Coturnix japonica: one gene and its partners. The protein of the gene in region 5 interacts with the protein of the main gene of each other region in a pairwise test. Links are inferred from orthologs where the notes say so. Each region holds a gene or a part of one and is shown on either strand. Other genes may lie near its edges. The genes, in order: PPP4R1, SMC3, TXLNB, SMARCE1, CEP63, integrator complex subunit 6-like and DTNB.

The links.
Region 1: the proteins of CEP63 (region 5) and PPP4R1 interact in a two-hybrid assay, tested with the Homo sapiens proteins (2 studies listed by BioGRID and IntAct). The link is inferred for Coturnix japonica from reciprocal best matches to the Homo sapiens genes CEP63 and PPP4R1.
Region 2: the proteins of CEP63 (region 5) and SMC3 interact in a two-hybrid assay, tested with the Homo sapiens proteins (2 studies listed by BioGRID and IntAct). The link is inferred for Coturnix japonica from reciprocal best matches to the Homo sapiens genes CEP63 and SMC3.
Region 3: the proteins of CEP63 (region 5) and TXLNB interact in binary tests that used the Homo sapiens proteins (3 or more experiments, as listed by UniProt). The two-hybrid records come from large-scale screens. The link is inferred for Coturnix japonica from reciprocal best matches to the Homo sapiens genes CEP63 and TXLNB.
Region 4: the proteins of CEP63 (region 5) and SMARCE1 interact in binary tests that used the Homo sapiens proteins (3 or more experiments, as listed by UniProt). The two-hybrid records come from large-scale screens. The link is inferred for Coturnix japonica from reciprocal best matches to the Homo sapiens genes CEP63 and SMARCE1.
Region 6: the proteins of CEP63 (region 5) and integrator complex subunit 6-like interact in a two-hybrid assay, tested with the Homo sapiens proteins (2 studies listed by BioGRID and IntAct). The link is inferred for Coturnix japonica from reciprocal best matches to the Homo sapiens genes CEP63 and INTS6L.
Region 7: the proteins of CEP63 (region 5) and DTNB interact in binary tests that used the Homo sapiens proteins (3 or more experiments, as listed by UniProt). The two-hybrid records come from large-scale screens. The link is inferred for Coturnix japonica from reciprocal best matches to the Homo sapiens genes CEP63 and DTNB.

What each region holds. Positions count from the first base shown.
Region 1 is NC_029517.1:88,765,711-88,769,210, reverse strand, and holds part of PPP4R1 (serine/threonine-protein phosphatase 4 regulatory subunit 1), read right to left. Parts: intron 1,668-3,500; coding exon 1,525-1,667; intron 412-1,524; coding exon 265-411; intron 1-264. UniProt on the Homo sapiens protein: Regulatory subunit of serine/threonine-protein phosphatase 4. May play a role in regulation of cell division in renal glomeruli. The PPP4C-PPP4R1 PP4 complex may play a role in dephosphorylation and regulation of HDAC3.
Region 2 is NC_029521.1:22,934,301-22,938,276, reverse strand, and holds the start of SMC3 (structural maintenance of chromosomes protein 3), read right to left. Parts: upstream 2,801-3,976; 5' UTR 2,600-2,800; coding exon 2,585-2,599; intron 572-2,584; coding exon 496-571; intron 1-495. UniProt on the Homo sapiens protein: Central component of cohesin, a complex required for chromosome cohesion during the cell cycle. The cohesin complex may form a large proteinaceous ring within which sister chromatids can be trapped.
Region 3 is NC_029518.1:48,823,892-48,827,888, reverse strand, and holds the start of TXLNB (beta-taxilin), read right to left. Parts: upstream 2,801-3,997; 5' UTR 2,599-2,800; intron 1-2,598. UniProt on the Homo sapiens protein: Promotes motor nerve regeneration. May be involved in intracellular vesicle traffic.
Region 4 is NC_029542.1:4,157,577-4,161,814, forward strand, and holds the start of SMARCE1 (SWI/SNF-related matrix-associated actin-dependent regulator of chromatin subfamily E member 1), read right to left. Parts: upstream 2,801-4,238; 5' UTR 2,683-2,800; intron 2,583-2,682; exon of another isoform or gene 2,564-2,582; intron 2,305-2,563; 5' UTR 2,261-2,304; coding exon 2,254-2,260; intron 1,713-2,253; coding exon 1,669-1,712; intron 1-1,668. UniProt on the Homo sapiens protein: Involved in transcriptional activation and repression of select genes by chromatin remodeling (alteration of DNA-nucleosome topology).
Region 5 is NC_029524.1:2,647,865-2,651,364, reverse strand, and holds part of CEP63 (centrosomal protein of 63 kDa), read right to left. Parts: intron 1,678-3,500; coding exon 1,552-1,677; intron 683-1,551; coding exon 569-682; intron 1-568. UniProt on the Homo sapiens protein: Required for normal spindle assembly.
Region 6 is NC_029519.1:4,023,480-4,026,979, reverse strand, and holds part of integrator complex subunit 6-like, read right to left. Parts: intron 3,414-3,500; coding exon 3,264-3,413; intron 2,594-3,263; coding exon 2,504-2,593; intron 2,195-2,503; coding exon 2,011-2,194; intron 1,225-2,010; coding exon 1,096-1,224; intron 1-1,095.
Region 7 is NC_029518.1:95,642,749-95,646,700, forward strand, and holds the start of DTNB (dystrobrevin beta), read right to left. Parts: upstream 2,801-3,952; 5' UTR 2,742-2,800; exon of another isoform or gene 2,678-2,741; intron 2,352-2,677; 5' UTR 2,283-2,351; intron 740-2,282; exon of another isoform or gene 721-739; intron 1-720.

The DNA of each region.
Region 1 (3,500 bases), on a different chromosome or scaffold from region 5:
TTCATAAACCAATGAAAATTAATCTCCTCCTGTGCTGGTTTGTCCAAATGTTTTTTTTTTTCATCGCCTATATAACGTATTGATTTTAAACCTAGCCTTGAGTGTAAGATGGCAGAAAAAGTTATGGATTAGTTATGGAGAGCAATATACATTTTTCTCCCTAATACCACATTGATGCACATCTTGGAAACACAATAGAATCACTGCAACACCAACAATTCAAGAGACCATTATACCCTCTAGTTTGAGACTGCCATTACTTACAGCCACGGCTTCGGTCTTCACGTCATCATTGCTGTCTGGTGCTGTCAGGTCTATCAGGACAGGGCATACTTTGGTCTCCACGTCGTATCTCTCTATGAGTTCTTGCTCCAGCAGAACTAACAATGCTGCCTGGCTTGTTTTTCTTACCTATTGTAACAAGACAAAAATCCAATCATCAAGGAGTATAAGGAGGTAAGGTGGGTCTTTGTTTTTCTTTCTTGAAGTAGGTCCAAGTATTTTGGGAGCTATAGCTACATACTGCTATGCATCTATATTCAAGGTGCTTGGAGAGAGAGGATAAGGTCTCCAAAAGTGCTCTGCAAACGCGTCATGATTTAAACACAGCATCAGGCCCCAGAACTCTGCTTACTGTAAACTAATGAATGCTATTATAGTAAGTGTCCACCTATGTATGTACCAAGTCAGGACTGCTATGTCAAAAGGAAACAGAACAAGAAGTCACGGAAGAGAAGCAACACAGCTAACTGGGAGTAACAAAGTTCTACAGCATACGAGTTTTGTTAAACAAACCCTCTTCTTACCAAGTTTGTCTGACAGTGGATAACTGCATTTATTCCATCTAGCAAAAGACTACATAAAAATCTGAGAACCTTTTTTAATTGACTTAATATGTATTTAACTACTGACACCCAAAAATAAATTTCATGGAGGTAATAATCACCAAATGGAATTACTTCTAGGGGAATTAGCTCTCAGTGCTCTTCAGTAGCTTTATATCTAGTACTGACAAATGTAACACCATACACTTGCTAGCATCTGGAAAAAATACAGTTACTGATAAAAGCCTGCAAATGATTCAGCAATCACCAGAATCAACCGGAATGATCCAGATCATTTGAAAACATGGGCTTATTTATCTTGCATGAACTTAACACTTGCGAATGCAAGGTCATGTATGTCAGAAGAGAAAACATTACATAAAGTGACAGGTTATCTACTGCAATGCAGCAATTACAAGACCTTTCGAGGTCTTTGTTTCAGAGCAAATCAGCCAAATGAGCTATGGAGTTATCACCAGAGGTTAGGAAGACGAACAGTTGTGGAATCTGTGAACAAGAGAATATCAAGCAGATACTACTTTCTTTAGTAAATTCAGAATGCAATGCATTTCAAGTCATTTTAAATATTTTTCACTCTAAAATATTATATTCTTAAATCAGCCTAAATTATTTAACTTGAAAAGCCTCACACAGTGGAAATATCCAACTAGTTAATAAACTGTTTCTGTAAGACACTCACCTGGTTATTCTGGTCTGCAAGGTACCGTACCACAATAGGTAGTAAGTACTTGGAAAAAGCATATGGGATGGAAGGTCTGTTTTCTTGACAAAACATAGCAATATGAGGCACCTGTTCCATTAGTTCTGCTCGCACTGTAGGCTCTGCCAGAGTCAAAATAAAACAAAACAAAAAAGACACTGTAAATGTTAGCAAACACGCTGTCAAAATACGCTTTTTTACGTTCTTGTACTTAGAAACTGTGTGCTCAAGTGGTCAAGTCAGTATGTCTACAGCAAGCTTCAATTTGATAAGCATCACCTTTATGCAAAACCAGGTGCAAGTACAATCTGTACTAATAAACTTCTACAAAAGACTTGGCCCACATTCCCAATTAGTAAAAGAAAAAACAAAAAGACCCACAACAACTGCAAGAGAGCAAGTCATCAAACACGCGTATCAGGATCCATCCAAATTCCCTACAAGTATCACCTACTTCCAAGAAAACTCCTAGGCAGAAAGTTAACCCAACTGCAACATGAAACAAACTGAGGGGAGCTCCTGTTCCTTTCAGGATTCGCTAAAGCTGCAGTTGCTATCAGAGAACTGATGACCTACAGAAAAAACATAATGAAAACCCAGCAGCTACTCTCAAGTGACAGTGATCAGATTTATAATATTTTAAATAATAAACTGTACACACGGCATGTGCCTTACTGAGCTTTACATAGGCAGGAACTGTTTAGGTAAAATTTAATGGCACAACAGAACCATCTTATGATATTTGGAATGAACACACGATGTCAGAACGATCACCTTTAACTAAATAGTAGCATGAGCTTTGTATTTAATGTGGATAATGCAAGCAGCCCTTAGCTTTCTTGAACACTAGTTAAAAGTGACAACTTCAGACTGAATAAAACAAAACACAGCAAGCACCACATCTCCTAGTTTGCTTTGTTTCTCTTCCTAAAGCAGTAATAGGAGCATATACAACAAAAGTCATCTTAGCTAAATCTTGGATGTTCTGAAATATGTGCAGGTTGAACTCCTTAAGCAAAATCTCTACACATATATGTGTAAGCTCATACTAAAGAAGTCAGATCATGAAGAAGACTACTCAAATACGTGCAAGTTTTAGTAAACTTCAATCAATGACTAAGAAATTTTAGCTTAATGAACATTCAATTCAACAGCTGGCCAAAATAAGCACCTGTAAATAGGACAGACTTTTAAGGAGATTGTTAATTTTGAAAGAAAAACTCGATATATCATATTAATACAAGGAAAAGAAAAAACTAGATTTGCTAAAAACATCTTTCCTTCCAAAAAAGCTTAGAGAAAAAACACATTACCACCATTGATTTATATTGATTTATTTTCTCTTTTTTAAGACTAGTTTGCTACTGAGAGCTTGCAGCACCAGCTAGTTTTGAAGTAGCCTAACACTTTGTATCCTAGTAACTCACCTTTCACTTACATAAAAATTGCCCAAATAGTCAACAGAACACAAGATATTGTAAGCTCCATCTCTTTGTTAGGATGAGCAGAGCAGCTGTTTTCAGGTCTGAAGTCAGCAAAATCATCCAATTTCATCCTATGACAAATTCTGGTCCTCTTAACTGATGAAACCTAGACTCTTCACTTCTGGCACAGAGAACTGTGCGAGAAGGGGAGTCCTTTTACATCAGAAAGTGTTTGCCCATTTATGAAACTGGCCCAGTGTGGCTGAGCTTAGGGCCTTCTATGCGCTCTCTGTATGCATCTTCCCAGTACCTGAGAGTACAGGAGATACCGACTGAAGAGTCCTTGCTGGCTGAGCACATTTTGAGATGAAGAAAGATACCACTACTGCAGATAGACCACATGCACCCCCTGACCCAAGAGCTCTTCTGAAATAGCTGATGAACCAACCTCAGAAGGATGTCGATGTCTGCAGATGAAGCCTGCCAGTCTTGCAAGCTCTATAACTCGCTGCCTAGCACCTTGACAAAGCA
Region 2 (3,976 bases), on a different chromosome or scaffold from region 5:
TAAAGGCTCAGTGTCTCATCTTTAAGACCAATATTGACTGTATAAGTTCAGAACAGCTTCCCTTCTAGCAATGAAACATCCAAGGCTTTTCATGTTCTCTGCATCAATCATTGCTACCGTATTGCCTCCAAAGCCCTTCAGCTTCACTCATCCCCTCACATATCTGAGATTATCAGGAGTTACTTCAAAAAGCCCAGTCTCTTAAATGAGGACTGTCCAGTATGGACATCTATACATACAAAGGTGCTCACAGTTCACTTCTCACTCAGTTCCTATGGAATCACTCTGAGGTCACAGTAAAAATGAACACTAGATTGCTTTGCCATAAACATGCTGTAATATGCCTTGTAAAATTAACAGACAACTGTAAAAAAGCTTCCAGTGCAGAAATTACAAAGTAATCAAACATAGGAAGAATATAAACAGTTAAGGACTCATTTGACCATGATCTGATGCAATTTTAATTAGTGTGAAAAAACAGATATTGGAACTCACCAATGACATTGTGTTTTGAGCTGAATGGATCCACAATGGTTTGGTCTCGGTAGCTTCGAAAGCCCTGAATGATTACCTATGGAGTAAAGCGACAGAATTACCTCTGCTCTTAAGCACTTTTTAAACCTCAAGATATTACACAACATTCACATCACTTATGATACAGAATCACAGAATGACCCGGGTTGGAAGGGACCTCAAGGATCATGTAGTTCCAACCCCCCTGCCTGGCAGGGCCACCAAACATACACATTTACTAGATCAGGTTGCCCAGGGCCCCGTCCAACCTGGCCTTGAACACCTCCAAGACCACTTGATACACTTGATGTCTTTTCCCTAATCCTGTCAGCTCTCAAGCTCAAGACCAGTATCTTGTATTATGAGACTTGGCCTCCACCTAAGCATCATTTTATGAACTGAGATTTTTTCTCTCTGCTCAAAAAAGATACTGGCACATATCTAGGTCAAAGCAAGACCTAGGAGCAAGACAGACTTGTTTTTTCTTTAGGCTGCACAGTAACACAAAGAAAGTGAAAGGCAGAAATATTGGTTCTGTTGAATTTGCTTCCTAAACAAACATATACAACCTACACAATGAATTTAGCTAAAGAGCTACACAGCAAACACTAGTCTATAAGTACAACTATCCAATTTTAGTCTAGAATGACTGTATCTGAATACTTTAGTTCCATGCAGCAGCAAAACTGATCCGGCTTCCAGCACAGCTCAGCATTAATCAGCCCTTTTCAATCATCAAAGCTGTGCTGAAAGGACTCTGCATCAGCTTTCCTCAATCTGACATATATAACAATGTGACATCTGAATAACAGCCGCCTGAAAAGCTGCAGATCTTTTAGGAAGACCACTTCAAAATGGACTAGAACTGACATTCAGTCCCTGTGCCCTTCCTTAGCATTTCACCACCAGAAGATCTTGTTAAAACCTCACTGACGTTTCACCATCAAAACTAACGTAAAAAGGAAGAATTAGCAACTAGGAAGAAAACAAAACATGTTATGAGATTTCTTAACAGTGTAAGTTTAGAAAGCAAAATGAAACTCTGGACCTGCACTGTATTCAGGTCTAGATATAAGGTAACCATACTGGAAGTAATCAAGGATATTAGTATTTAATGGATCAAAGTATAGAACACAAGTTTGGGACCGTGTACTGGCTGATGACTGCTCAAACACTGTGGCTGTTCACAGAAGATCTGACGCCTGACCCTATAAGTACTGGCTGGCTCCATCTACCAGATGGGAGATCCTCACAGTAACAGTAAGCTCTGCCTTGGTACCAATGGCTTTCAAAAAGTCTGTAGGGCTTTTTCTTATCTGAAGTACTGCAACATGCATCATATATTAAACATGCATCTGAACCAGTGACACAGGTGTACTAAAACAGTACCAAAAGGCATCTGCAAACGCTCCCGTGTCGACAAACAACTGATGAAAACCTGATCTCCATGAAGAATGTGTGCTTCCAAACATAGTCTGAAGCATTATACGCAATGGGTGTCAGAAGGCCTAATTAATTTTGAGTGCAGAGAGAAGTAAGAATCCTAGCAGGCTTCAGATGAACGTACAGAGATAGCAGTAAGAACGAGGACAAAAACTTCGACGGCGATGTGCAGCATATATAACTAGTGCAGGGATACGCTAACAGCAACAATAATGCGAGTCACAGCCTTAAAAACTGTTAGGAGAAGGCCCACACAAGGACTTCATTTATCTGAACATCAGCTGCTGGGTGCTTGTCAGGGACGAAGCGCACAGCTGGAATGGTCAGTGCTCGGCGGGCCAGGCTCCACCCCAGCACCAACAGCACAGTGTCCAGGCCGGCCGTGCCCTGCAGGGCCGGGACACTGTGGTCGCCCCGTCCGAAGGTCCCCAGGGCCCGCAGCGCAGCCCTCGCTCCACCACCACGCACCGCAATGAATGGAAACGGCCGACGGAGCACGGGACCGCCGCCCAAGGGCCCCGCGAGCACCCGAGCAGAGGCCGCAAGGCCCCGCCACGCGCCTCCCCTCCGGGCCGGGCCCGTTCTATCTCCGGAGCGGGGCAGGCCGCAGCAGGCCCCTCCGCCGTACCTGCTTGATGTACATGGCTGCCGAGGATGGGGGAGGGAGGCAGCCGCCCCGCCGCCTCCTGCTGCCGTCTCGCAGCCCACCCGGACCGCCTCCTCCCGGTACGACGGCTCCGAGCGACTCCGGGCCCCCGTTGCCGCCTCCTCCCGCCCCGTCCGGCCGCCACACAGAGCTCGGCGCGGAGCCCCGCTCACCCCTCACGAAACAAAATGGCGGCGGAGCCACCCCTGCCCGTCCCGGCGCGAACCACTCGGCACAGTGCGGAGGGGGAGAGCGGAGAAGAGATCTCACCCCACCCTGGCCGGAGAAGGCGCCAGGCAGTAGACACTAAAAATATCGCCTTTTTTATCAGATTTCAATATCTCTTTAGCTTTTTAAGGAGCTCTAAGGCGAAGCAGCCGTCCGAAACCGCCCGTCCTCACCTACCGAATCCCCCCAGAGAGCGCGGAAATGTGGTTTCTCCCGCTGGGGGGCGGGTTGGGCGCCAAAGGCAAGTGTGAGCAGAGCGGGGCCGCAACGCCGACAGGGAGGAGTGCAGCCTCCCGCCTGCAGGGGGCGCTGCCACGGTCGGGGCCGCCTCAGAATCACAGAGTGACCCGGGTTGGAAGGGACCTCAAGGATCATGTAGTTCCAACCCCCTGCCTGGCAGGGCCACCAAACATACACCTTTACTAGATCAGGTTGCCCAGGGCCCCGTCCAACCTGGTCTTGAACACCTCCAAGGACGGGGCATCCACAACCTCCCTGGGCAGCCTGTTCCAGGGCCTAACCACTCTCCTAGTGAAGAACTTTCCCCTAACATCCAACCTAAATCTTCCCTCTTTTAACTTAAAACCATTTCCCCGTGTCCTGCTATTGTCAGCCCTTTCGAAGAGTTTACTCCCCTCCTGGGAGTAAGTTCCCTTCAGGTATTGAAAGGCTGCAATGAGGTCACCCCGCAACCTTCTCTTCTCCAGGCTGAACAAACCCAACTCCCTCAGCCTGTCCTCATAGGGGAGGTGCTCCAGCCCCCTGATCATCTTCCTGTCCCTCCTCTGGACCCTTTCCAAAATCTCCATGTCTTTTTTGTACTGAGGGCTCCACACCTGGACGCCGTTTAGGACATCCTTTGCCCAAAAGCTCATTGCAAACATGTGAAAAAAGCCATATGCATTTCTTAGACTGAGCTCTATATCACTATACCTGATAGAAGGCAGAGACATGCGGGTAAACCTGCAAGAAGGACTTAGAAAGAAATCCAGGTTCACTCAAGCTGCAAAAGGCTTCTTGCATGAGCAGAGCCACAACAGCAAAGATCTGCTTTGTAGCAGCAGAGCTGTAACATTCTCTGCAGGAGAAAGGAGCTTTGATGAGGAAAAAACAGCTCCCTGCTACAATCCTTTTATGTGTACTGTA
Region 3 (3,997 bases), on a different chromosome or scaffold from region 5:
TGTTTACACAGGCAAGCAAACATTTTAGCATTTTCTTTCATTCTCCTTTAGGCTAAATCAGAGATCTGATAACTGCTTTCAGCACAAACACAATGTCTGTTAAGACTTAGCACCTTGTTTTGTGTAATGGATTCCACAGTGTGAGAGAGTTTATATTCAGGAAGACAGAGCAGCTCTCATCTTCTGAAAACAGCCTTTGGCGACGGGAAATTTTACTGCAGTAATTCCCAGTCCTGCTCTTGCTCCAACTTGTTTAACCTTGATATGCATCAGGAGTTCTGTCTTATCTGGCCATAAAAGACTTACAATGCCAATCCAACAAAATCCCAAGTATTTACATTACTGCTGTCTCAGACACAGTAATGTCTAAAAATTAGGTGGCTGATCCCAGAAGAGAAGTTCCTCAGCCCCTTAATTTCCAACAGACTGAGGCAAAGGAGACAGAGCCTGCTTTTTGACTCTGCCTCTTGACTTCTGTGACTCCTACAGCTATCACTGTCTTCACACACACAGGGATTTTCTATAGGGCCTTAGCTTATTTTATGGTGAGGGGTAGGACTGACCAGTCATTTGATTGACTCTGAGTGTTTGGTCTTGTTTACTTTTTTCCTCCTACACTTCCAAACCCTGTACTTGCCCCACAACTCTGAGATCAGTATCTCTCTCAGCCCTACCTTTTTGCACGCAATTTTGATTCCAGACAGTCATAGTTGCTCCCTACAGATATTCCCTACAGACTGAGAAAATAGTACAGCCATACAATGCTGTTTCTACATCAGCCTTGCAGTTTTTAGCTCTGTGTCTGCTTGAGATAGCCAGTCTAAATTTCAAGCCCAGACCCTAGGTGTGTGTGTATGTTTCACTTTGATTCTGAGTGTAAGTCTGAAACCCTAAGTTTGTCTTCATCATCAGCAAAGTTAGAGAAAACCATGCTGGAGTCTGTGGGGACAGCATTGCAAGTCATGGCTGGGAGGAGGTGTTGGCAATGCAGCTCTTGGTTGCTTAGCCAGGAAGACCCAGGACCTAGCTGTAGTGATGGTCTTCCACCACTAGGAAGCATCCTGAGAGCCTACTGCCTCCCTATGCTGACTGTGGCAGAGCTTCTCCTTTCCTCTCCTCCCTCAGTAAACACTCAGCAAGCACATCCCAAGAGAAGGACGGACCTCCTTTGAACACTGCCCCAGCCTTGGATGAGAGGTGACTGATGCCAGGCACAGGCTGATGCCTTTCTGTAGGAGGACTCCTGTCCAGACCTGCTGTCCTGCAGTGAGACTGGTGCCTGGGGTTGATGCAATCAGCATGTTGGGTGAGAGAGCACACAAATGCGGCAAACACGCAACATAACCAGAGGCAACAGAAAAGAAGTGTGCAAGTTCAGTTAGATAATGTACTGAGTTGGTTTAGATCTGACCGTATCCCTTAGTATTTCACATATATGGCACTATCTGCATTCACTCTGCTTAGACATCTGTCAGTGCTTCCGAAGCAAAAGGTTGGCAAAGCAAAAACTCATGAGCTGTGTTGTTGCTGCTGGACAAACCACCCCACACAGTGCCCTGTGCCAGCCCTCCTTGTGCTGCTGGGGTGGAGGTGCTGCTGTAACTGGAAGCACAAACTGAGCATAAAACACAGGTCTTGAGCTTGGGCTTGCATGCTGTCACAATTTATTACTATTATTATTATTTTGAACAGAACTCTTACCATTCCTTCTCACAGGAATTTCTTTGTCCTTCCCTTCTTGCAGTCTGAACTTCTGGAGGGTTTACTAATTCGCCTATATTTAGCACCTGCCTCCCCATGGGTCCAACAGAAAGACACATGGCACCTGCTCTGCAGCCAGGAGTTATTTTAAGCACTTCTAAAACGGGGAATAGTATTTCACACTTTTTGCTCAAAATTCACATACTCGCACATACAAGTTCCCTAAAACAAAGTGTTCTATATAATTACACCAGGCAGCATATGCCAATAAAACCTAAAGCTTCACTTCAGCATATCACCATACTAAACTACATAACACCTCCCAGCAGCAAACATTAAACCCTGAAATGGCCAGCAGTGGTGTAGATCCAATTACCCTCTAGAAATATAGAAGTGCCTTCTTATAGCCTGAAGGCTGTTCTATATATTACTTCAGAACGCTATGACAAAATCAGCTTTATCAACTATGTGCTGCAGCTGAATGGTGTTGTGATTTATGCATGATTTTCTAGCACAAAATCGAACAAATCTGGCTGTTTGGTGGCACGTCTTCTTACAGGCATGGATAGAGCCTGGACCCAGAGACTTTCTGATGTCTCCTGTCTTGTCTTTCATGTGGTACCTGAGTCTTCATCAGTTTTTGTTGTCACAGCCATAGCCTCTATTTGCACCCAAAAGCCAGCTCTCCCAAGTCAGCTTACATTTTTTTGATCATTCAAGCATTTCATCCTTTCACCAATGGGCTTCCATGCTCTCCTGTTTTCCTCACATGCCACACAGTGCCCAGGCTTTCCAGTGGGGAAAGTGGGCTGACTGTCTCAAAGGGAAGCACTTAGATTAAAGTCCTTGTGCCATGCCACCAGCAGTAACAGCAGGGAAGCTCTTTGTCAGACTTACCAGAGCAAAGAGAAGTGCAGGCAGAAGTCAGGTAGAAAGCTCAAACCAGGGCACAACAGCAGCAGAACACCGGATTATAATCCTGCCACCAAGAAGATCAAGTAAGGGGGAAGGAGAGAGTGACACAGCAGGAACAACCACTGCAGAGCCCAAATGCGCACTATGCAGGGGACTGGCTGTGATAGGCGAGCAGGGAGGCTGCCTGCTAGTTGGCAGCATAACCCAACTATGTTGGCTATTCCCTTCTCTGACAGAGATAGCACGAGAGGTCAGTGACTCAGGCCCTTAGAAAGAAGAGATACAGGAAGGATTCAAATACAGCTGCTACTCTTGAAAGCTAAGTCTTAGTCTATCAAGGATTTGATGTGTTGTGCTCTGTGAAACTTATCTTTATTAAACATGGACTGATCAAACTCTAAGTCTTCTGTCTACACCAGGAAGACTAGGGTGGCTTTCCACAGTGTGAGCTCACACCTGTGACTGCCCTTTGCAGTCTGGTCTGGATTTGTTATAAACCTGATTCCTGGTCATAGACTCACAGGAGGACCACTGGATGTCTCTTGCCTTTTGCTCATAGCAAGCTTAGCTATGAGCTGAGACCAGGTCTCTCAAGACCTGTATTAAGTATTAGCATTAAGAGACTGGGCAACCTGTCCTGCTGCTTGGCTGTCCTCAAGGTGAAAACGTTTCTCCTCACATCTGGGTTGAACCTCCTTTCAGCTTCCTGTCCTCCCACCTACACCCCTATGGAAAGCCTCTATCTGTCTTCTTGTTAATCTCATAGGTACTGCGGGCTGCAGTTTGGAGTTCTCAAAGCTCTCCCTTCTCCATCCCACCTTCCTTAGTCACAACATGGGGCAAATAATCCAACCCCAGCCACCACAGTGTCCCTCTGGTGAATGGACTCATTTCTGCGACTGGAATGCTAGGAGAGATGGCTGGTGTAGTCTTCTCTTTGAGTCAAGGAGCTCTCAAATAAATGTTTTTGTTGCTGCCAAGGTAACTTGCCTGACCTACTTTCTTCATGATACCGTGCAGGCTCACTCCGGCCTGAAGTTGTTTGTATAAATAGGCAAGCACTCCTCAGGGAGTTCAGCTGCATGCTGTTTATCCAGCGACCAGCATCTCCCACTGCTGTGGCCCACAAGTCACTCAGGCAGCATCTCAAGATGCCAGATGGCCTAAGGACCATCTGCTGCTTACTCCCTAGGGAGAGATGTAGGTCAGTTTAATGCACAAAAATGCAAGCAACTGGGAAGCAATAGACTGGTGCTGGAAGTGGCAGGCAGTGCTATGAGAAGAGAAATAGGACTTCAGCTCCAGTGGAAAATAATAAGCCTCGGAGCAAAAATAGGAGGAAAAATAAGTATATACTAAAAAAATTTGGAGTAATTTCTTA
Region 4 (4,238 bases), on a different chromosome or scaffold from region 5:
CAAAGCAGCGCGCAGTATGGGGGCAAAAATTCCCCAAGTCAACATTTACTACAACAGCAAAAATCTCTGCCTCCTCCTCTTGCCATCCTTCTGCCTCCTAACGAACACGATGTTGCCAGCAAACAGGGTAAAAAAACAACGTGAGTGTCTCAAAGCACCATCCGTGCAACAGTAGCAGGAGCAGAGGACTTCACTGGTGGTCTGCAGAATCAAAACACTCTGGAGAACTGTAAGGATTAGAAAAACCAAGAGAGGACGATGCACGGAGCTGCCGCTCTGTTAGGAGGCCGCTGGCTGACGGAGCTGAAGAACCGCTGCAATGCAATGTGCAGGTTAGAAACCACAAACTAATCTTAGGAACAACCAAACACATCTTTGTCCGATCTTGCAGGCGGATCAATTTGTTCTCACCTCCTGGAACATGGAGAAAATCTAATTTCCATGCACACAGATGTGGGTAAGCAGGGATGTAATCAAACACCACAAGGTTCACTGTCTCCCCTTGGTTGTCAGTCTCACTCCTGCACTTCAGCTACTCTCTTTTCTTTGTCCAGAATTCAGATGGTGTTGGAAATAAAGCAGACCAGCCAGGTAAGGGTGATGGAGCGCTGCACCAGCACTCACTGCAGCACCACGCCAGGTTCATGCGTTACCTGCACTGTCTCACACTGGAGTCCCACTTTGTTAAAACCCATTTCAGCAGTCTTTGAAAGCAATGTGCTCACTGTACCCATTCTACATCACGGCTATAAAAGCATCAACATGAACCTGGTTTTGTGTGCACTGCTGACAAAGTCATAGCTTGGCTAAAGGATGCACCACCTCAGTATTCACCCACACTGTGCCACAGGAGAGATCCGCTGCCATCACATTCCTCCTAAGAGCACAAATCTATTGAGCTGTGTGAAATGACACATGCTAAAGAGCATCCTTACTCGTTCATTTGTTCCACTCATTAATATTTTCTCCCATGAGTGCATTGCTTCCAAAACAAGAGCTGCCTTTGCTTTCAGCTGCTTTTCCAACCACAGCACGAGTATTTCAAGATACTTTTATACATGCAGGAATACAACTGGACATCACTGCCACGTTTTCTTAACTGGCATTCCATACCACTTTACTGTAAGTTAAGAGATTTGCCATGCAGCAGACCCCAAAATATCAGCATTTTCATGAAATCTGAGTACGATTACCAGCACGGAGGGTCTCCATTTTCTGACCAAATATAACAGAAATCTGCATCCCATTGAAAATGTGTCAGAAGCACAAAAACGTGCCCTGTTTTTGCTCATCATTTGTGTAAAAGTTGAGCAGGGAGTCTGAGAATGAACCGTATCGACTTGGCCTTCAATATTCCAGCATCCCAATGGGCAGCATTGGCTGCATGAGTTCAATGGCCACACAGGTAAATAATCCCAGTGACTGCTGATTAAAAAAGGGCCACATCCTGCAGATGTTTAAGATGAAACCAGTTTGTTCAGCTTCTTTTTTGCAAACTGTTCTGAAATTGGGATGACTTTAAACAAGGAATATCATACTAACAATGAAATACAACAAGCGTGCTTTTCCAACACAGGAAGGTGCTGCGTCTCCACTGTTACGGCTCTGGTAAGTCACTAACAGCTCTGCTACAGGATCTGTGTTAATGAGAAAAAGCACTGTACTTACGGTTGCAGGAGCTGGGGTAGGAGGTGGAGCATAAGATGGCCTTTCTGTTAAAATATAAACGTAAGCAAAGAAAATCCTTGAAAATGTGAATGAGTTCTTTAAGAGGCATCCATTGTGGCAAATGCTTTAATGGGATTTACTAAAAGACAGACCCAGCTCAAAGACTTTGGAGCACACAGCAAAGGAGAGACTAAAAAAAAAATCAAACCAAAACCCCACATCATTGCTACATTTCTGGTCTTTTATTTAGGCAGATGAAGGAACCTGAGATACGTTTACAGGCACATCGGTTAAGAAGAGGGTAAGGAAACAAAACAAAACAGGGAAGCAGGACTCAGCAGAAGCTGGGACAGATTTGCTGTGAGACCAAACGCTTGGACTGGGCTGCAGCAGCTCCTGAGAGCTCCAGGTGGGCACCAGGAACTGCTCCGTGCAGCCCGAGCTGCAGTGAGAGCTGACGGCACAGCAACAGACACCACGGGAACCAGGAACGGCTGCTCTGTGCACAAGGCCCACAGGCAGCGCCCCAGAGCCCGCGGAACCGGATCCGAAATTCACCAAAGGAAGAAAAGCCCGAAAACTTACTTGACATTTTGACAGGCAAATTTTCAGCCACCTGACGTTACATTCGTGTTTCTGAAAGACAAAAGAACAACCGTCCCATTAATGCCACCCCGCTCAGCCCAGCGGCCATTTCACGGCGCTTCTCCCGCAGGAACTTCACGTTCCTCCGCCGTTCGGTTCCGTTCGGTTCCGTTCGGTGCCGCTCGGTTCCGTTCGGTTCCAGCTCGTGGCTCCACACGGACCCTCACACACCGGCCCGGCCCGTGTAACCGCGGAGGCCGCGCCGCCGGGAAGAGGCCGCGAGCGGAGCCGCCCCGCGGGCAGCGCCCACCTGAGCCCCTCGGCACCGCGATGAGCCGCCAACCCGAGACCGGAACCGAGCCCAGAACCGAGCCCAGAACCGATCCCGGCACCGAGCCCCCCCGCCCGTCCCGCCCCGCACACACGCACCGCTCCGCAGCGCCGCTCCTTTGTTCCTGCCCGGGCCGAGCCGGCTGCGAACACCGCGCCTGCGCGCCCCGCTCCGCACTTTCGCCACGGCCTCCGCCCCGCTCCCTCCCGCGGGTGTCCGAGTAGCGCGGGGTTGATCCGTCCGTCCGCCCCGCTCACCTCGGAGCCGCTGTCAGACCGAGGGCCGCCCCGCGCCGCGAGGGGTGAGAAGGAAGAGCGGAAGGCGTTGTGGCGAATCTGCGGGGAGCGCTGCCTCACGGGGCTGGGGCGGAGGCGGCGCGCGGCGTTGCCGCGCTCTGGGGCCGCGTGAGGCGCGAGATGGAGCGTCGAGTGGCGGGAAAGGAGAACATGGCGGGAAAGGGAGAAAGCGGCTGTGAGTGACCATGAACTGCAGGAATAGTCTGTAATACACAGAGAACTGCAGGAATAGTGTCTATAATATACATAGAACTGCAGGAATAGTGTCTGTAATGCACATAGAACTGCAGGAATCGTCTGTAATGCACATAGACAGGGCTTGTGTGACACCAGAGGGGATAGAAGGGAGAGGAAGCTGGCTGTGATACCACAGCGCGGCCTGCTCTGCTCTGAAGTAACGACACGGACATGGACAGATGGAGATTTCCATTCAATAACACAGGGAATATAATGATGGGAAGATCCGCCAGCAGCCAGACCTGCACCTTGGGGTCCGACAGCGGCACCTGGGCACAACGTCCTTAAGGAGGAGGTAAGAAAATACTTAGAGGTGAAAAGTAACCCTGGTTTGGCTTGGGTTTGACCACATTCATTACATTGTGTTGTACGTTGCATTCAGTTGTGCTTGGTGTCGATAGCATTAAACATGCACAAGTCGCTGCAGTGTTCAGTGCAGTTCCATACTGATCATTCTGGATCGTTATTTATTGTTTCCTTTGCTTTAGTTGGTTGGTTTTTCTATTTATTTCTCATTTCTGTTTGCCTGTGCTCCGTTTCCATGTTACTCTATGTGCTCTTACTGCTGTACAAGGTTTGTTTATAGCGGGTTGTTCAGGTCAGGAGCCCTGAACATGTTTAATGATCATAAACCAGCTTTTGTTTGTGCTCTCTGCCACCCAGTCCCCCTCAGGACGGACACACAAAGCTCAGGTTTTATTGTTTTTATTGTTGTACCGCTATTTACTTTGGTAAGTTTGTATCCCTGTTTAAAGTGCCTCAAAGCGATTAAAACTTAGTTTAAATTCAAGTATTGTAAAACATACAGAGTATAGCACACGAAAAAAGCTGCATAGTGAAAATGCCAGGAGAGGCCGTTACATTCAGGATGCCAACTACTCAGGTATTAACAACACCGCATCAGTTTTAAGGTTAATGATAATTAGCCAGCTTTATACAGTAGACAGAGAACCGTGGGCAATGGAACCACTGCGCTGTTGTTGCTGTTGATAAAGGCCAGAAGCGAAACTGAACGGTGCGAGACGTCGTGGTTCCCATCTGTAACATGTGCCTTAATTCCTATGACACTCACTGACACTGCAGTTGGTTCTTTCCTGCTGCTTTGGATCCCACAGGTTCTG
Region 5 (3,500 bases):
TGGCTCTGCTGCAGCACCACTAACTCACCCCATGACCAGCTTTTCAGGGACAGCAACCCCACTATTCCTTGCCTGTAGGAGATGAAAAAGAAAGGGAAGGAACAGGTCTGAAAAATGTTGTTTCTTCTTCACTTGGTGGAAGTATCTGCCGTTGGGGAAGGCTGCTTTTCAACCCCATGCTCTGAGCTGGATGCAGAAGGTACATATTTAGCTATTGGCAGGTAAACAGCTTCAAACTAAACGACCTGATGGAGCAGCTGCTTTCAAACATCGTTTGCTGTGGTCTCTGGCTCTCAGGGAAAGCTTCGTCCTACGGTCTTCTCTGCTAATTGGAGCGGGGGAGTGAGAGCAGCAAGAGGTTTACCTAACTTCTGTTGACAGACTCTGGATCTTTTTTCCACTCAGCACTCAGACACGTAAAGCTTATTCCACTGGGACATTAAAAGTCATTTCAATGGCAACCTAAACTGGATTCAAGCCTGAGAGATTTCATTAGTCTCTTCCCCCCTCCCTGCCCTCCCACCTGCTGCACAACAGAACAGAAACTTTCAACACGTATTAACCATACCTGAATGAGCTCGGACTGCTCAGCCAAAGCCTTCCTCTGTGCTTCCAGAGATGCCACCTGCTGCTGGTAGAGCAAACGCTGCTTCTCCCAGTCAAGTGATTTTTGACGGAACTCCTGCAAGGACAGCAGGGTTGGCTCAGAGCAACACATCCACACAGCTGACAAGATTTGCCCCCTCCCAGCTCATACCCATGTTTTCTCTCCCTCCCCACCACATCCTCACGCTCCTTCCCCCACAGCAGGGAAACCATTAACCAGCCATCTGATGCACCAACTCAGCAGCACAAAACCCCTCTCACACTGTGCTCGCTGCGTTCCCCTCTCCCTCCCAGCTGAAAATATCAGTGTCAATTATTGCTGTTTACAAACGTTAAGTGCTAAAAGGCTCACAGCTCATCACGTGGATTTGCTGTCAGAGGTTTAGCAACACGGACTGACTTTAGCTTGCAAAACAGGCCCTCCCTGGAATCGTTGGCAACCGCTAACTGCAGAGCTCTAATGCTATCCTCAGCTCCAGCAATTGGATGCTACATCTTATCCATGCCTCTGTTAGCCTTGTCTAGAGGGTACACTGGGGAAAAGCAGAGCATGGTAAAACCCAGCACAGCAGAGATTGAGACATGGCTGAGAAGAAGTTTCATTTGTAGCTCCTCCTCCCTCCAAGAAGTGAGATGACAACCTCACCACACGGGCTTTCATTTCACTCACACAATTAATTACTCTTCCAGCACTTTCTTCCTTTTACTCAACTGCAGAATAAGATCTTCAAAATAGTTTACCCTGCGTACTTAGAGGCCTCGGTGCAGGAAACAGTCTTTATTACACAAGCAATCGAGAAGAGCTTCATTAAGAGAGTAGATGGAGAGTACATCTGAACCAGGATTCACAGTGCCCTTCCTAGTTGTCTGAATAGAGTCACCAGTGAAGCCCGAAAGGCAGTTCATCCATAAGAACCAATTAGCAGCTGCTTCCCCATGGCCCACCTCCAGCTTCCTGCTCAGTCGGCTCATTTCAACCTGGTCATCCCCTTGCCTCTTGTTGGCTTCTTCTCTTGCCTCTCTCAGCTGTTTCTTCTGCAGCTTCTCGTAGCTTCTCTTCAGCCTGGCCAACTGCAAGAATTCAGCAAGAGGGGCAACTTTGTTCAAGGCCAGCGGGCAGGAATTAAATAGCACATTGAAGGAAGGCAAACAAAATAGCTTCACGCAAACAATTCCCCCAATCAAGGCCACACAGCTTGCAAATGAAGATTTCTATTTGTATAATGAGCCTATTATACTGATAGGATCACAAAATACGCTGAGTGGTATAAGAGGAGCAGGATGCCACGCTTAAGTCGTGACATCAGCAGCTCCAATTAGACCTCTGTCTTATCACAATGAGAGCATGACTGAAATATCGATCAGATGGAGGTCTATATGTAGCTGTTAACATGGCACCTCCTCTCTCTACAGGCAGCCCCAGGACTCTGTAACAGCAGAAGAACCTGAGGTCCATCTCCTGGTGCCAACCACAGGGACAGTTCTACATTCTTAGAGGTTAAAGTGAAGCTCAGGTGAGGAGTGGAACTCTCCCGCTCGGCAGGAGGAGGAAGATTAGAGAACTGCCATTATACATAACATCAACACTACTTCATCTGTCATCCTCTGCTCAGATACACGACGTACTTCACAATAACTGGAAAATGCCAACAGAAAATAACACTCCTACGCCTACTGCTTGAATGCTGAACTCTTATCAGAAGCAAAAGTGAGGAGAAAACTGCTGACATTTAAGTGACCCTCTGTGCAAATCACCACTCGCAACTTGCACAGATTTCTCCATCTGATGAGCTCCCCAACTCAAGCATTTAAACAAGTTTCCAAATGGTCCCTATGAACCTCAGAAGACATCATTCCCGATTTGGGAACCCATGGAGAACTTATATCTGAATCAAGACCCCATGATTCGGATCCACACAGTGGTCAGGAAAGGTTCTCCAGGGTCCTGAGTCAGGAAGGTGCTTAAGCACATTCATTGAGAATGTGTTTTGCCAAATGAGTCAGCAGATTCCAAGCACTGGTTTATCCTTTCAGCAACCTCCATGAGGTGGACACTGTACCTGTAATTTTACTGGTGATGGTGGTAAACTGAGATAAAATCTATCTACCCAAACAGTACTAAAACAGACTAAGGAACACTGCAGCTTAATGCCATCTACATGGGTAAAACACCAGTGCAGTGCAGTTTTAACCACAAGACACACACTATATTCTAGCCATTGCAATATAGCCTGATCTGGCCAAAGCACCTTAGCCTTGCTCTGCAGCCTATCCACTATTTCAGCTGGAACATCTCCTGCTAATCACACTGAGCAGTAAGGTGTTGTAAATGAGGACAGATGCCTTCTGTCACCAAAGCTGAGGCTACCAAATTAATTTAAGTTATGGCTCACAGTGAGCATCAACCAAGCTGAACTCTCCGGGGAGAAAAGGTCAGTGCTCTGCTGGCTGCTCATGCCACTTAACTCAATGCTTCTGACAAGCAAGTGGAGACAGGCAGAACAAAGGCACCAACATGGAATGCTGCTGTTCCACCTGCAGGACACTGTGTGTGTACCACCCTGCATTGAACAAGGAGCTTGTCGAGATGGAAGCTCTGAAATCACTTCTTGCAAACTGATATGGTTTGAGAGAACACAGGTCCCGTCAAATAAAATCAGACTCAGTGGAAGCAAAATGATGATGAGGCTGCGTACTGATCTGATCTCAGTTTCTCCATACAATCAAGGCCGGTTCCACCACCACCCATTTTAATTTAAGGAAGTGCTGAAGGAGCAAACTGCTGCTGCCTGTACCCATAGCAACTTCCATATGAGGGCTGTGGTGACTATGATTGGCAAATACAGGAAGATTTTGCACTAAAACTCTGCAGATGTTTAACTCATGGAAATTGC
Region 6 (3,500 bases), on a different chromosome or scaffold from region 5:
ATTTCTCTCTAGATGAGAACTTCCTCAATTTATGTGAAGGCTCTCAGCATCTTCACGCATATGTAGTCACAGCACATCACCACTTAAAACGTGACAAAAGGAAAAAAAAAAAACAATTTCACCAGCTGTTTTGCCACAGGAGAGTATTTGGGCTAATAGAGACCCAAGAAAATAATAAGTGCTGAGGTGCTGTCCTGCATGGCCCTACAGGAAAGCCTTGAGCATACGTCCAATCAAATGATATTTATTAAGCAAAAGGAGAAAAAAAAAAATGTATAAAGCAAGAAAAAAGTGATTAAAACCAAGTAATGAAAACAAAGTTAAAAACAGGCTATGCTAGGATGCTCGGGGGTCCTAAAAGCTATTACGCTTCTGTCATTCCAGGAACATCCTTATTTTCTAAGTACAAACTGGTCACAGCTCTCTCCTTTCCAGCCATGAATTCTGCAAAGCTAAAAGCCTGTTCCATGTTAAGAATGCATCTTCCTATTTGGTCGTGTACTTCACTTGCAGCTGACAGATCAATTCCCTTGTTCTTAGCACAGACTTTTTCACTTGCAGCAAGGAACATTCAAGCGTTTGTGATCAGTTATCAGAATGACTCGAATAGACCTCAATTCATTTCATTTATACACAAGTTTTGACAGCACTAATTCAAACCTTATCACTTTCATTAAATACTCACTTCCCTCTGCTGCTTCCTTCAGCCTCCAAAAAAAGAGGTGAAGAAAGTGGCAGGAGAGCTGGCAAGCAGGAAGGTTATCCATTCAAATCCATACAAACATACAGCACTTTCTCAACTCACCAAGGACCAAACTAGTACTGGGAACAATATTGTAAAGACAAAACTAAGTAAACACAATTCAAGTTATATAAAGTACATTCATTGTGATCTGGGGTATTGAAAGAGAAACCAGAGCTCTCTCACAAAAGCTTTATAGTTTAATCACTTTTTTTAGATCATATCAGGCCTCAGATAAATCCTGTACACAACAGTGAAAAGTCAGTAGGAAGGAAACTGAAGACACTTAAGGACATCTGCATGCACACAAAAGGCTTTTTTTAAAGCATCAGCAGAAAAAATGGTTACTGTACCTTCTCCAATAGGAGCTGGATCCGGTCCTGACTTTTCAAAGTTAATAACAACCCCACTTTGGACTTTCTGAACTAGAGATTCTAAACACTGATTCAACATTCTTTGTGTCCGAACACAGTAAGAACGACCTACACAAGAAAACATTAAGATTACTCAAAGCTTTCCTATTATCCCTGTGTAAATTGAGGAAGGTATTTTGTTATATCAAGTCACGTTGCCAAGGCTTTCAGCTTTATCAAAAATAACAGCAGCAAGCTTAGTAGAAATTGATGCAAAATGCTTTACAAATGCAATAAAAACAAAGGAAAAAAAACAGCTCAGATTTTTCTTCATAAGAAAAGCCATCAAGGCTAAATCAGGCTGGACTAAGACCAAGTTTATAAAGGCCCTCAACAAGTTCTGATTTCGTGAAGTCTGCATAATCCATCTGCTTTTGCCTATCCAAATCTAATCAACTCCAACACAAACCTGAACCTCCCCACCCATACAACACTTTTTCAAGAACCAACCTAACAAAAACTCTGAGTAAGATCTTTAAGATCAAAATCCACAATTAATTATTTTAAGATTCTATTTTAGCTTATCAGCCATTCAGCAGAATTATTGTCCCAGTAACACCTCTTCCTTCTCAACTCAACATTTATGCTTGTAAATAATGAATCTTGTAAGTGAGCAAAGCCAGCCCCTGGGAGGACAATAAAAGACATTTTCAGTCCTTCCTACACTGGTGCACAACATGGCTTTCTTTAACAGCTCTCCTGTGCTACAGGAAACTAAGTTCAAAAAGCACCACAAAGACTCAGGAGGACACTGAGTAATTCTGAGCGAGAGAAAAGCTAAAGCAAAAGTGAATCAAATGACATGTTTTAAGGCAAATGTCAAATGTAAACCAAAGCAAAGTAATATCCAGGTACCTCCTGTAACTTCGCACATCTGTGTGATAGCAGATTCATCTGTAGGCACACTCCCAAGCTGCTCTGGTTCAACAGATGCAGCTCCTGGCAAACGCAGCACTAGAGCAAACAGTCTTTGATCCCAACGAAATGGTTCTTTGGTTAGTTCACTTCCAGGCAAAGGAGAATTCAAAGGAAGATGAAGCTGGTAAAGAAACATTTAAGAAAGTTTTCAATATCTGACAAGACATCTGAAGACATAATACCTATTTCTCTGTAAAGGACCCCATTTTTCTTCTCTCCACTAGTTTAACTGAAGTTACAGTCCGGAAATCCACATGGGCTATGAATTTAGGGGCTGAGCAATGACAGCACACCCAGTTTCCCTGCTTTGTAGAACAGGCTGATGAAACAGAAGCGCACTTTGCAGGGGAAAAAAAGCACAATAAATATTCACCTTAACACAGCACCAAATTTTAAGATCATAACTTGAAATAATTTACTGTCAGTTTACCTCCTCTTGAACTCCAGCCGTGTTCGTCAGCTTGTTTCCATCTGTGATGGTAATCAAAATAGATGGCTCAAGAAAAAATGGATTCCTTCCCTAGAGACAAAAGCACAGGACACTCAGCTGTAGACTAATATTTTTGTCATCATGAAATAAGCAATATAATGAACAACTTATCAAACCAGAAGTTCTCTTTCAGCAGGCACAGAGCCATGCAGAACTACTGACAAAGTGCATGTGCACAGTCAGTCACTGAACACATTGTTAGAATTACTTGCCTATTTTTTTCCAGTAATAACTTCAAAGTTTTCTATTCCACAAATATATGATACATAACAACTCAGTGACATCATTATTGCACGACGACAGTGGGGCAAAAACTGAATATTTTTTAACTAAATCTTCCAAATGTGAGAAAGGAGAAAGACAGAATGTGAACTGCAGATAAAATAAAACTGAAATTTGCTGCCATCCAGCGTACAGGCTCTAATGCAGCAATTGTCCAACTACAGACTAAGTTATTTGTACTACTACTTTGGAGTCCAATAACAACAAAAAAATGGTATGATAATGGTATCTCATGGTATGATCACAACATGCAATAAGAAAGAAGATCAAATCTATTGAGTTTTAACATACAATTACCCAACAGAACGCTGAAAAATAGGGGAATAAAACCCCAAAAATATACTTAAACCATCAAAATCCCTCCCCAGTATAATTTAGAAACGCAGAGAAAGAGGAAGACTAGAGACAAATGGATTACCTGTCCATAGTTGTCTATTCCAGACACTAATCTATTGAGATTTAATAAATCAAAAGCTGTTCTTAGGGACTGGCCAAGAGTTGTAAGTCCTTCAGCCTGAAGGTTTTTCAGTTCATTCATGAACGTTGCATGATTTTCTTTCCATCCAGCCTGTAGGATAAAACAACAAAAGTTCTTTAAGTCTTGATTTTGCAACAGGCTTGAATCAGCTGTGAGTTGTCATTAATCCCGCTTTCT
Region 7 (3,952 bases), on a different chromosome or scaffold from region 5:
CCCTGCACATAACAGGGGGGCTGAAATCAGATGATCATTGTGGTCCTTTTCAACCCAGGCCATTCTGTAATTAATTCTATGATTCTTTACTTCACTACACCTCTTACCAGGAAAAAGGAAGAGCTCTAGTAGTTATTTCATGGGCATACATTTAACAGGTTTAATGTCCCTTCCAACCCAAACCATTCAATGGAAACCCAAGGACAGAAAAAGAAGAGCCACTCACACTAACAGACCACCAACGCCTTCTTTCAAAGCATATTTTACACAATTCTGATCATTCTTCTAGTTCAACTACAATTTCAGACTCAGTTCCCAACCCTAAATGGAATTAATTAAAGCATAAGTAATGGTGCACAGAAGTATTAAGAATGCTTTGATATGTTACCTCAATATCTACACCAACCTGACAACAGAGCATCCATGAGGAACCGCATACACCTCCCGGTTCTACGGATCCCAAACAAAGCTCCAATGTTTGCTTAAGAACTTCACAAGCCATAATGAATGGCAGTTTAAAAGAGCATCATCAAGAAACTCCAGATCAAGACCAAGCCTGTATTGAATTACATTGCAAAGTCACAAGTTAGCGTTTTTTTGGTGTTGCTTTTACATTTTGGGGGCTTTCCCTTGTGTTTGTTAATTTTCTTTTAAACACAGTGGATCAGGAGCTGCTTCTAAAGAAGGTTTTGTAAAAAGCACACAGATATGATACAGCACCTTTCCTTCCCTGCAGGCATTCAAGGCCAGGCTGGATGTGGCTCTGGGCAGCCTGGTCTGATGGTTGGTGACCCTGCACACAGCAGGGGGAACTGGATGATCACTGTGGTCCTTTTCAACCCAGGCCATTCTATGATTCATTCCATGACTGCAAGAGAGCCACGAAGCTAAGCTTAGGCACAAGTTATCAGCAGGAGCCTATCTAAACACTAAACCAAATGTGCACCTTACAATCATGATTTCTCCACTTTGGCACTGAGAGAAAAACCCGAAACATAACTCAACATAAATGTTACAAATTTAAGTCCTTATCACCAAATCTCACCACCCCAAAAGCACAAAGTTAAAGAGCAGCAGTGATAAGGCTAAGAAAAGCAGGCTGCTTTCTATACCACTCACAACTGTTATTTATGCTGGTACTGACAAATAATGTGACGAACGAGAGGGCTAAGCTGGAACTGCCCTACAGCAATTAATTCTTTCCATCTTCTCCAGTTGCTTGTCAGCAACAACACCCTTTTACCCAAACTCTCCACTAATCTAAAATATCCTTTGGAAACACAGAAAGCAACAGCCTCAAACAGACAATTCTGGGTTACCTCTATTCCTTCGAGTGCACTTTGTAATATCAGCTGGCAGTACAGGATCACACACACTTACCAATGAAAGGCAGGAGGACAAATAAAAACCAACCCAAGTAATTCTTCAGGCCAACGTTTCTCACATTTCCCAACGTGGAAATGAGAATTTTAACTTCTTTTTTTTTTTTTTTGCCTGGAAAGCCACAGCAGCCAACAGCAGAACAAGGAAGCTGACGCACTGCACACTCAGTTTCAGGAACGTGAATAAGAAAACTGAAAGTACAAAGCGTTTTTAAAGAGCAGCACTGCACAGCTGATGACCAAACTCAAGGCAGTGGCTCGAGTGTTATCAGAGCGTTCTCAAGCAGCACACAAACCATTGGCAAAGGGCTCCCCAGCCTATCTAGGGCTTAACAATCACTTATGAATAAGAGGAGCGCTGCACAGAATCACAGAATTGTAGGGGTTGGAAGGGACCTCTAGAGATCATCGAGTCCAACCCCCCTGCCAAAGCAGCTCCCTACACCATGTCACACAGGTAGGCGTCCAGGCGAGTCTTAAATATCTCCAGAGAAGGAGACTCCACCACCTCCCTGTGCAGCCTGTTCCAGTGCTCCGTCACCCTCACTGTATAAAGGAACTTCCTATGTTGTACTTTCATCCCATTACCCCTAGTCCTATCCCCACGCACTACTGAAAAGAGACCAGCCTCACCACTATGACATATACATATATAGCACTATGGCTCTCCAGGTCCATCAGGTTGCCTAGAGAGGTGCTGGATATCCCTGCACACAGCCAAGGTCAGGCTGGATGGGCTGTGAGCACTGATGGAGCTGTGTGTCCCTGCTCAGTGGGACAGGTGGTCTTTAAGGTTCCCTTCCAACCCTAAGGATGCTCTGTTGACCATGAACCCACAGACACAGCCTGTTTAGCTCCGTGCACATCAGCCCAGCCACAGTTACCTGGATGCCACATTACCTGGATGGCACACGGAGCCTCTCAGGGCAGCAGCCACCTCAACTCCTTCTGCCAACATCGAAGGACGACCTGAAAAACAACCAACCACACGAGAAAAGAAAAAAAAAGAAAGAGCCACTATGACAAACAGCCGGTTATCGGCCCCGTTCAGCTCAAGCTAAGACCCAACTTCATGCTGCACCCTTAGCGGGAGGCTCCACGTCGGTACACGGACGGGCTGCCCATGTCACGGCCTGGAGGGCCCAGCACTCCCAGCACCGAGCTTGGGACGGGTCTCCTTCCTCAGCCCCACGCCGCCCTCCCCGTTTCTCGGCTCTCGGAGCCCGCCGCTATTAGCGCAGCCCAATACATAGACAATCCGACCGGTCCCATTGATGCCCGCAGCCCCCACACACCATAACCGTGTTGGCCGCCCCGCCCCGCTCCGCCCGGGCCGCATCCACCGCCGCTCCGCCTCACCGTCCCCACTCCAACGGTCCCCGGCCGCCTCACGGCGCGCAGCCAATCGCAAAGCGTCTCCGCGGGGGCGCGCACCCTCCGGCCAATCCCACCCCGCCCTCTGCCTCCGAGAGCCAATGGCTGAGCGAGCCCTCGTGCCTCGCCCCGCCTCCTCACCTCCACAGCCAATCGGCGAGCGGACGCTTCTCCGGCGGCGGACGTGCGTGAGCTCGCCCCGCCCCTCCTCGGGAGCGCTCGTGCTCTCCAGCCAATCAACAGCCGGCGGGGCTTCGCGCGCTCCCGTCTCCTGCGCAGGCGCAGTGGGCGGTCAGCGCCTCTCCTCAGGGCGATGAGGGGACGTCGAGATGGCGGTAGTGAAGCTTCAACCCCCTCCACATCTAATACCAGCCCAGGCTGCTCAGGGCCACATCCAACCTGGCCATGAACACCCTCAAGGATGGACGGAGCATCCACAGCCTCATTGAGCAGCTGTTCCAGCACCTCATCGCTCTCACAGTAAATAACTTCCCCCTGACATCCAACCTCAACCTCCCCTCTTTGAGTTCTCTCTCAGTAACACTTTAATTCAGCCCACTGTTATGTTTTCCTTTTACCCAACTGGGATGCTGTGTAAAACAATTCTACCTCTTCTCATCCAGCGCTGCTGCCTGCCCTGTGCCCCCACTGCATTGGAGCCATCCGCATCTGAATGGAATTACAAGAGCAAAACACCTCCTGGGACTCAGCTTCAGCACAGCTGCCATTTAAAGAGCTGTGGTTTGGCCCAGCTTCAGGGGGAGGTCAGCAAAGGGTCTCGGTAAGTGTGAAGGGAGACGGCAAACCCAAATTTAGCAGCAGGGAAGAAGAAATAAAAGCAGAAAAATAAAGCCTTGGGGTTGGTTAGGTGTTGTAGGGAGAAGTGGAGGACTTGGAATAACTCAGTGTATTTTTCAATTAATCTGAAGTAAAAGGAGATATTTTCCAACAGGCTGTGTATGGGTTTTCATGTGCCTGTGTTCTTTTTCTTTCTTTTCCCATAGTGATGCAAGAATACTAAAAGAACCACAAAGAAACCACAGAGACCCAAGGAAAGGGAGCAGCCCGAGCTCCCCAGCTGTGAGGTCTCACCAGCACTGAGGCAGCAAAGTCATTCCAAGGACAAACCTCTCCTCAGTGATGAATGGTGCAAAATATGGCGCAGATTGGAGCCGCTGGCTGTCGGAAAGGTGAAG